Linked DNA regions of Oryzias latipes. The protein of the gene in region 1 purifies or fractionates together with the protein of each later gene. This does not show direct contact. Links are inferred from orthologs where the notes say so. Each region holds a gene or a part of one and is shown on either strand. Other genes may lie near its edges. The genes, in order: succinate dehydrogenase [ubiquinone] flavoprotein subunit, mitochondrial; sdhaf2.

Region 1 (4,591 bases):
GAGGTTGGATGTAGGAGCAATAAGCATCCTGCCGCTCCATCAGCTGACTCTCCAGTTCCCTCAGCGTGGCTGTGGCGTACAGACACCAGTTGTTTTCCCTCTCCAGGGCTTCGCGCAGAGCCGCACCAGCGGCGCCAGATGTCAGCCACCTTTGCTTCTCTCCGTTCAACACATCTCGCTCCTTGTAAGGAAGTAGAAGGTGTTTGGGTCAAGGTTAGGCTTTAGAATTAGGAAAAGAAACACAAAAGCATACAAACTTTAAAAGCAAAGAGCTCTGTAGGTCTTCTTTACCTGCTGCAACTTTTTTTGTTCTACTACAAGCTGTTGCCTCTGTGACACTATTGCATGCCTGTAGCCTTCTCCTCTCTGCTTCTCCTTCTCCAGCTCCAGCTCCAACGTGGCGGCCGCCCTCCGTGTTTCTGTCAGTGTCTCCTGATAACGCGCTTCAAGTTCACTTTTTATTGCGGAAACATCTTTGCTGCACTCGTCTTTGACCCTCTGGATCTCCTGCTGGGATTCTTTAGTCCAGATCCAACCTGAAAATACAGAAAGGAGCACATGAGAGTTTAGGAGGAAACCAGATAGGTTTTAGTGATGCATCAATATCATTTTGATTTGTTCATTGAGCAACATACCTTAAATGTTGCTCTTTCTCCTATAATGCAAAAGGGAATCAAACTTACGAAATGCAGCCAGCCCCAACATGGGGACCAAAAGGGCGTAGTTCCATGGGTTCCCATCACCTACACCCGCCTCCCTCCCCCTGGGGTCTTGCTGGATGTTCCACCTGGGGGGGTTGTTCAGGTTGTTCATGCTTGCTGCTGTAAACAAACACACACACACAGCAGAGCCAAGCATCAACAGCATCTTAGTTTATTTGTTTGTTTACTTCTTTTGCTGCAAATAAGTTCACTTATCTATACCTCCAAATATGGCTCACTAGAAGAAGTCACTGATTAACTCCTCAACAGCTTATACTTTACACTACAGCACTGCTAAAAGCAGCTGAAGGCAAGAAAAATATTTACTCATTTTGTTTAGAAATCCCACAACACAATACAGCCCATTGATCGGTCTGTGCTTTCACTTTTGACTTGTTTGAGAGCATTTCATGCTAGTTTTTAGCTGATTAGTAACTCAACCTTTTTCTTTGGGGGTGGTGACCGCCTGAGCATTTTATTTATACCAAATGGAATAATTTGCATGTCTAAAGTGCGACAACAGAACATTATCTGTCTTAAATCTATGAAGTTTTTGCTCACCTTGGAGAAAATGTCTAGGTCACTTCAGAACTTGTTCCTACATACACCGCTTGTATAAGTATTTCTCCTTAACGGTCCACACATCGGTAAAGGGGTGGTAAATATAACTGAGCCTTTTGAAAAATTTATATTTTTCAGAAGTCACTGGGTTGACTCATGTATTGTATTAAATTTACTAGACTGCATTAATTCTCTTGTATATAATACAACAGTTGTAGCTTAAGGAGGGAAAAACAATCGCCAAGTTGATCAATTTCCCCCCATATTTACTGAATGGTTTGGTCCAGTCCCACAGAATATTTCTTCCCCACCAGCGCTTCAACATTCTGAGCTGGCAACATGGCGAGTGTTCGCGCTGCGTCTCGTCTCCTTTCCAGGAGGGCGATCTCTAATATTAAAGCAGTGAGTAACGAATTATTGACAAACTAAATTAAATTGAACAGACATTTATCTGTTTGCACCAATTCATTTGTGTTCGTGTGATCATTGTTTGTCTAAGTTTGAGCCAGTCTTTAGCTTTCATAACGGCTAGGTTACGGTTTGCGTAATCTATTATGTAGCATAGGGTGTCTCAATGTGACATAAGAAACAACGCGTTTTGTTGCTGATTTAACCAGAATAATTCCCAGTTTACTTTATATTCCTATTTATGGTTTATACATGCTCTCTTACATTCACTTTTTTGGGGATTACTTTATAAACTAAAATGTTGCACACATGGATGGAGGATTTCGTCTAAAGTGAAATGTTAGCTTTAAGCGCAGGTCGTACTTATTATTGTATATATAATGAAGTTATTCATTAAATACAATTGGCCTCTTAAAAGAAGGACATTGCTAAACTTGCTGGTCTTGTAGTTGTGCCAATTAGCCCGATGGCGCAGTTAACCAAAAAACGTCCAGTATTTTGATTTATTTGATTAAAAAGCAAAATGCCGGTATGAACAGTCACTTAAAGCACTACTGAGAAATGATGAACATTAAAAGTAATAGTCGTTAAAAATAATAATAACAACTAACAACAATAATAAATCACTCAACACGGAAAGTGTAAATTATTTTAATTTCGGTGGGAAACAAAAGTAGTGCAGATTTTAGTTCCACATGTTGACTTTGCAGAAATCGATTGCACTTGAAGAGATAAGAGAGAACAATTTACGAACCTTTAAGATAACTTTGGTAAGTGACTCTGCAGTGACAGAGGCTTTCTCAAAGAAAAAAACTAAAAAATATTAATATTTTATGTTTATACCAAATCAATACCCCAGGCAATCATTTGGACTTTTAAGTTAAGGCTTTTTTTTCCCTCTTTCAGATTATTCTTAATCAGTAATTTGTATTTCTTTATTAGGTCAGCTGTTTTTCTTTTTCTTTCTCAAATTTAACTTGAAGGAGTGAGGCAAATGGTGAGCTATCGATGCCTAAAAGCTTTAAAAAAGTTGGTTTAGGTAATGACTTGTAAAAGGAAAACCTTTTATCTAGATTGTATAGCATAATACATTTATTTATACATTTATTTATATGTACAGCATAATTCTGTACAAACTACATTTTCAAAAATTGTAACATGTCTATATTAAAAAAACTACTTTGTTTATGTTTATCTGGTATTACACATTACTTATAGTTTATACATTTGGAGACGAGCTTTAGGGCAAAGTAGAATAAAAGAAAATGAAAACATGTCTTCTGGATCTGTATTAGGATAGATCTTTATTGCTATTAATATACTGTATGTTGTTTCTTGTTAGCTTTCTTCTTGAACTAAAGCCGTCTTGCTCTCTTGTCAGGTTCCTGCTGCTGCAGTTCAAAATTCAAGGAACTTTCACTTCTCCATCTACGGCAAAAAGAATAATGCCAAAGTTTCAGATGACGTGAGTGCCGGTACTAGATGCACTGGTTCTTAGGGTTTTTTTATTTGTTTGTTTTTTTTGCTAGTGTGGCCTAAGTTCTTGTTCATGATGCAAAGTCACATCAAAATTTTGTTTCTCCCCCTCAGATATCCACTCAGTATCCAGTGGTGGACCATGAGTTTGATGCAGTGGTGGTGGGAGCCGGAGGAGCGGGGCTGCGGGCCGCTTTCGGCCTGTCTGAGGCCGGCTTTAACACTGCCTGCGTCACCAAGCTCTTCCCCACCAGATCCCACACTGTTGCTGCACAGGTGAGAACAAGATGGAGTTGGACATTTGGATGGATATGAGACGGATGTGGAATAATTTCCGATGACTTTGACAGGCTTGAATATGTTTGATTTTCCACAGGGTGGGATCAATGCGGCTCTGGGAAATATGGAGGATGACGACTGGAGGTGGCATTTCTATGACACAGTGAAGGGATCTGACTGGCTTGGAGACCAGGATGCTATTCATTACATGACGGAGCAGGCTCCTGCTGCTGTCGTGGAGGTAGGAGTTCTGGAAAAAACACTAAAGAGCTGGTTGTCATTGAGCGTCTGCGGGGTTTGAATTTAAGACTGCTGACGCCAAATAAACAGAATTAAGCCTGAATGCAAAATACAGAGTCAGAAATGAGTAAGGCATTCTTTTCCCAGCTGGAAAATTTTGGCATGCCGTTCAGCCGCACTGAGGATGGGAAGATTTACCAGAGAGCCTTTGGAGGTCAGAGTCTGAAGTATGGAAAAGGAGGTCAGGCTCATCGCTGCTGCTGTGTAGCAGACAGAACAGGTCACTCGCTGCTGCATACTCTTTATGGAAGGGTGAGCCCATCTACTTCATCCTTAACTCTTTCAAAGCACCGAAGAGCTTTTCTAGCTGTTTGGTCTCGTCGAACTGCATTTTAATCATCTGTTTTTCTTATTTTGACTTTTCAGTCACTCCGTTATGACACCAGCTACTTTGTGGAGTACTTTGCTCTGGACCTGCTGATGGAAGATGGGCAGTGCAAAGGAGTGATCGCTCTCTGCATGGAGGATGGATCTATTCACCGCTTCAGATCCCAAAACACCGTCATTGCCACAGGGTAAGACTTCGCTGTGACTCCCTCTCGTTTATTTGAGAGCTATCGGAAGTGAACACATGTTGGGAAATAATTTCTATGCTCTGTTCTTTTTCTTCCAGAGGCTATGGAAGAACCTATTTCAGCTGCACATCTGCCCACACAAGCACAGGAGACGGAAACGCCATGGTGACCAGAGCTGGTCTGCCCTGTCAGGACTTGGAGTTTGTGCAGTTTCACCCCACTGGTGAGAAACTTTAGTCATTTTGCATAAACCCTACATTCAAACACACAAGCACTTAAAAAGAGTTCTTTGAAAACCTTAGTAAAGTTGAATTTATAGATGGATGAACCCAAAGTTTTTGTAGTTGATGC
Region 2 (4,576 bases), on another chromosome or scaffold:
TGGTGAAAATAAGAATATTTTTCTGTATATTGGTAATAAAGACACTACACAGGATTGTGTCCCTCTTAATATGTAATCTTGAAATGTCCTACTATGGATGCCCATGTGTGCCTCCGATATAGGGATTATTAATTAGATGAAAGTTTGTGTGCTCTACAGTGAAGCCTCTGCCAAAAAATGATGCCAACATAACAAATTTTAATATTTTATAATGTCAACAATTCACATAATGACAATGAGTGGCTTTTATCCTCAATTTTACCTTTTTTATTGACGTTTTAAATGACTCTACTTTTCTTTGATGTTCCAAATCAACTGTCCTTGATCTCTACATTTGTATTTTTTGTATAAAACAGCAGCCAAGATTTGAACCCCCAAACTTTAATTATGCTGAGAACAACGAAACTGTTATAAAAACATGGACATTCAATGATTTGAAATTGAATTGATTTTGTCCTCATGTTTACAGTATGAGCTAAATTTGTCTCAGATCAAAATCCATTGACTGCTTAACAGCTATTTTAAGTTTTATTGTTTGGGTCTAAACTATTCTCATTTCACGCTGGAGCTAGAAAGCTTTTAAGTTATAAATGAAATGTCCCAGAAATTAACAAACACAAGATTAAAAAAACAAGAGAATGAATATCTTACCTGTGGCCCAGTAGTAGATGTCCCAGTCATTGCTTGGTTCATTAATCAGTCTGTCGTACTGCAGCAGCTGACTTTCTGTCATTGTATTCAGGTATCGCTTTGCAAAAAGACTACAAAAGAAATTAGAATGCATTAAACCCTTTACTCACTTCCCTGAATAGAAATTCATAGATACTCCGTAGAGATGATTTCATTGCACATGAAAGAACCTTTCGCAATGACGACAAAGTAAAGGAGGAAAATTAAATTTGTTGAAAAAAAAAAAAGCCCAAACAATTGTCCAAAAATATACAAAAACTAAATCATGGGAACGGTGTTTTATTAAGGAAATACTTTATCAAGGAAATATTTGTTTAAGACGACAGTAAGTAGAACCTGCATGAAACTGCAAAAAAAAACTAAAATAACTAAGGACAATTACAGTCTAATTCATGGCGTATACTTATATAGCGCTTTTCTACCTACAAGGCACAAAGTGTTTTACAGTCACAGACCCAGTCACACACACATTCACACACTGGTGGCGGCTCCGCTGCCAAACACTGGCGCCAACCTCCCACCATGGGCAAGATCGGATTCAGTGTCTTGCCCAAGAACACATCGACTCATGGGCGTGCAAGGCGGGAATCGAACCTGCAATATTACGATCATGGGTCGACCGCCCTACCGCTGCACCACGGCCCCCCAAATTCATGCAGAATTCATGCAGAATAATTCATGCAGATGTCGTAAGGAGAAATTCTGAAACAATAGGTCTCTGGGATCTATTGTACCAGACTTGACATCAACCTGAGCAAGATGCAGTTCTCCAACATGCCCCTCTTGCGACTTTCATAAAGAAGCCGGCGTCTCTTGATGTTGATGGGCTCGTCTGGCTTTTCCAGCCATGGAGGCAAAGGGATCTCAATCAGGTCAAACTTATTGTCATCAGGAGCGTCTCCACGGTAACCACGGGATGAAACCATCCCTGTGATGGCTGGTCTCCATGATGCCTGACACAGTCCTGTTACAAGCTGGAATGAATCACACACAAAAAAGGACATCAGAGAAACACCTGAGTATTCCATTGTAAACCTATGATAAGTAAAGACATTTGGGTTGTTTTACTTTTCAAGTAAGGAAAATGAATTTGCAGGATAAGTAGCTAAGCTGAGTATGGGGGTTGTCATAGTCTACCTCCAGAATTTAATAGTTTTGGAGGATGGAATGGTATTTCTGACCACGACATCAATGAACACTTGTGGGAACAGTTTGGGGGTACTGCTTAAGCCACAGTGACCAACGCAACCACGTAAACCGACTTGCAACAAACGCCGGATGAAAGATGAAGTGCCAGCTGCAGCAGTGTGCAATGATGCTAATGAGCAGCACGAGGAGGAGTCAGGCTGTTGTGACTGTATACGCTTCTTCCACACACTTTATAGCCTCTTGTATCTTAAATGAACAGGTACTTTGTTGAAATGTCTTGGTTGTTCAAACTTAAATCCTCTTCTGCTTTGCCGCTCATTACACACAAGCATTTTACTTAAAAGCGTAGCACTTTAAAAAAAAAAAAAACTTTTTTCTAACAAGCACACCATTCCTTTTTGAGCTAAGTTTATTTACCTTTCAACGTGATGTCATGTTATGCAATCACTCTTTTAGCCCGTTTCATTAAACTTTGTTTAGGGATAGAAAAGGGCTACACATTTAAACGTTTTTTGCTAAGACTTTTTGTAATGTTTACTGGACAATAATCAAATCAAACTTTATTTATATAGCACCTTTCCTATTAAAAACGTACGAAAACTGTTTTACACTAAATCACTAATGTTACACGAATGTCTTTAATAGCTCATACTTTGCCTAGCATATCTAAAAGTAAAATTTAATTAAATTTTAAATTATAAGAAGTTTTGATCATTTTTGAAAAAGCTCTCCAGCAAGCAGAAAGTGACATTAAGCCAAGAGCACTAACATCAAACAATTCCCCTCAACTAAGATATTCTTAGGTAAAACATATACATATAATCAAGGATTTAAATCAAGGACATTACTTTTGTCTTCTCCGTTTCTGTACGAACAACGATGTTACACTTTGTTTGGTTTGATAAAACACGGTCGTCGACGAGACAATTACATAGCAGGGAACAATCTCTCTCAACGTGCTTTTTAACCCACTCTAAAGTCTGACTGTTCGGCAACCGTGTTTTAAACAAGTAAATAGTAAGTCAAGGAAAAACTCACTCTTTTCGCCACAAGACCAGACAACATCTTCACCTTCCTTGTGTAAAGTTGACAGATTGTTGTGCAATTACACAAGCAAATCTGTGCGTCGCCTTCAAAATTCCGACTGAAAACTCACGTTGGCGAATTTTACATAACTACAGACACTTTAAAGGCACTCATTCACGTAATTATGCCCAACTTCATGAAAAAAACATTTTTAAATGTCGGAATTGCGTTACTCTAAATTTTTGGTGTGTAAATGCAACTGTTTTAAATCAAATCGTAATAGGAACTTTAAACTAGGAACTATGTGTGGAATTTACTTTCTTGCCGGTTGGTAGTCACTGGTGCGTTCACGTTTTCACTGAAATGCTAAAACGTTAGCAGTAGCCAATCAGCAAGCGTGTATTCAGTAGTCTGGCATGGAATTGTTGTGCATTTAACGTGAAACGTAGTACACGTTTTATTGATTATTGATTTAAAAAGCCAATTTAGATCATTTAAATTCCGGTTTATTGCGTTTGGTGGTAGTTATCAGGTGAATTGTTCGCAAGCCTTCCGCAGCAAACGTTAACATTGTTTTAACTGTTAATGCTAGTAGTACTAGCGGTGCCTCAATTCACAAAGAAAGAGAATTTCTACAGACAGTGCTTGTAAAAACAGACTGTAAATTTTGTGGGCGGAAAAAAACAGCGCGAACTGCACATCCGAGGTTCTCGGAATGGCTGCAACACAGCTTGCAGCCGGATCATCCAGCACATCACAACAAGACCTCGATGACATATATGATGGCTTGAACGAACCAGAGGTACGCTAAAAACATTTTCAGAGTCAATAATAGAAAAAAAAACATGCACCTAGTTCGTTATATTGATACCACTTCGTTTGTGACAATGTATTTTCTGACAATATACGAACAAAAAAACAACAACTCGGATTTCTTAAGAAATGAGGAAATCAACGGTCACACTAAAAATATGAGGGTAACCTTACAGTTACCGTATATTTTAGAACAAATTGCTAGTTTAAATCCCTATTTCTTTTGACCATTTGAAAATATAAATTGTATGTTCATACCAGTGAGATCCTGAATTTGACATTTATCTCATTGTGTTTACTGCAGCTGTCTATGGACAAATGATATAAAACTATGCCTGATTTTTTTTATTATTATTATTCTTTACAGGATTTTGATAAAATTGCAGAAGCAAATGAACTTTTTGATGCCGTTTTAACTGGTTCTGTCAATCAAGACAAGAAGACATATATCAAAGAGGATGCTGCGCAGCACGCCCAAACAAAGAAAGATGGTAAATCCATCCAAATGGAGAAAACAGCTCAAGGAAATTCAAAGAGGAGACTGGCTATCTATATTGGAAATTTTCCCTGGGTAAGTCTGTAAAAGCGAAAGTAGAATTTAGCATTGAGCATCAGGTGGGTGCAGTCATTTTCCTCCTGTTGATGAGGTCCAAAGCACCTTATGGTAAAAGAGGCACCTGTTGCTAAAATTAAAGAATCGTATTGTTATAATAAATGGAAGAAAATTAAAATGTTTTTTTCAAATCTTATATTTGACTTTTTGATAACGTTTTTACTTTTTCTTAAAGGTGAAACTTTCTTCCTGCTTAAAAACACGACACTTGTAATTTCTTCTATGTGTGTAAGACAAACAGTAGTTAATTAATTTAAAAAAAAAAAACAATTGGTCTCTTGGTTT

What was found.
Region 2: the proteins of succinate dehydrogenase [ubiquinone] flavoprotein subunit, mitochondrial (region 1) and sdhaf2 purify together in Homo sapiens (co-immunoprecipitation; 3 studies listed by BioGRID and IntAct, counting the BioPlex papers as one, with this or other methods). This does not show direct contact. The link is inferred for Oryzias latipes from reciprocal best matches to the Homo sapiens genes SDHA and SDHAF2.

The regions. Positions count from the first base shown.
Region 1 is NC_019874.2:14,714,500-14,719,090, reverse strand, and holds the start of succinate dehydrogenase [ubiquinone] flavoprotein subunit, mitochondrial, read left to right. Parts: upstream 1-1,557; 5' UTR 1,558-1,601; coding exon 1,602-1,664; intron 1,665-3,051; coding exon 3,052-3,135; intron 3,136-3,260; coding exon 3,261-3,422; intron 3,423-3,522; coding exon 3,523-3,666; intron 3,667-3,812; coding exon 3,813-3,977; intron 3,978-4,091; coding exon 4,092-4,240; intron 4,241-4,338; coding exon 4,339-4,463; intron 4,464-4,591. Other genes in the region: ccdc127 (coiled-coil domain-containing protein 127), read right to left, coding at 1-181, 292-536, 684-867. UniProt on the Homo sapiens protein: Flavoprotein (FP) subunit of succinate dehydrogenase (SDH) that is involved in complex II of the mitochondrial electron transport chain and is responsible for transferring electrons from succinate to ubiquinone (coenzyme Q).
Region 2 is NC_019861.2:18,852,642-18,857,217, forward strand, and holds the start of sdhaf2 (succinate dehydrogenase assembly factor 2, mitochondrial), read right to left. Parts: upstream 3,001-4,576; 5' UTR 2,905-3,000; coding exon 2,878-2,904; intron 1,665-2,877; coding exon 1,441-1,664; intron 762-1,440; coding exon 652-761; intron 1-651. Other genes in the region: cpsf7 (cleavage and polyadenylation specificity factor subunit 7), read left to right, coding at 3,581-3,667, 4,046-4,249.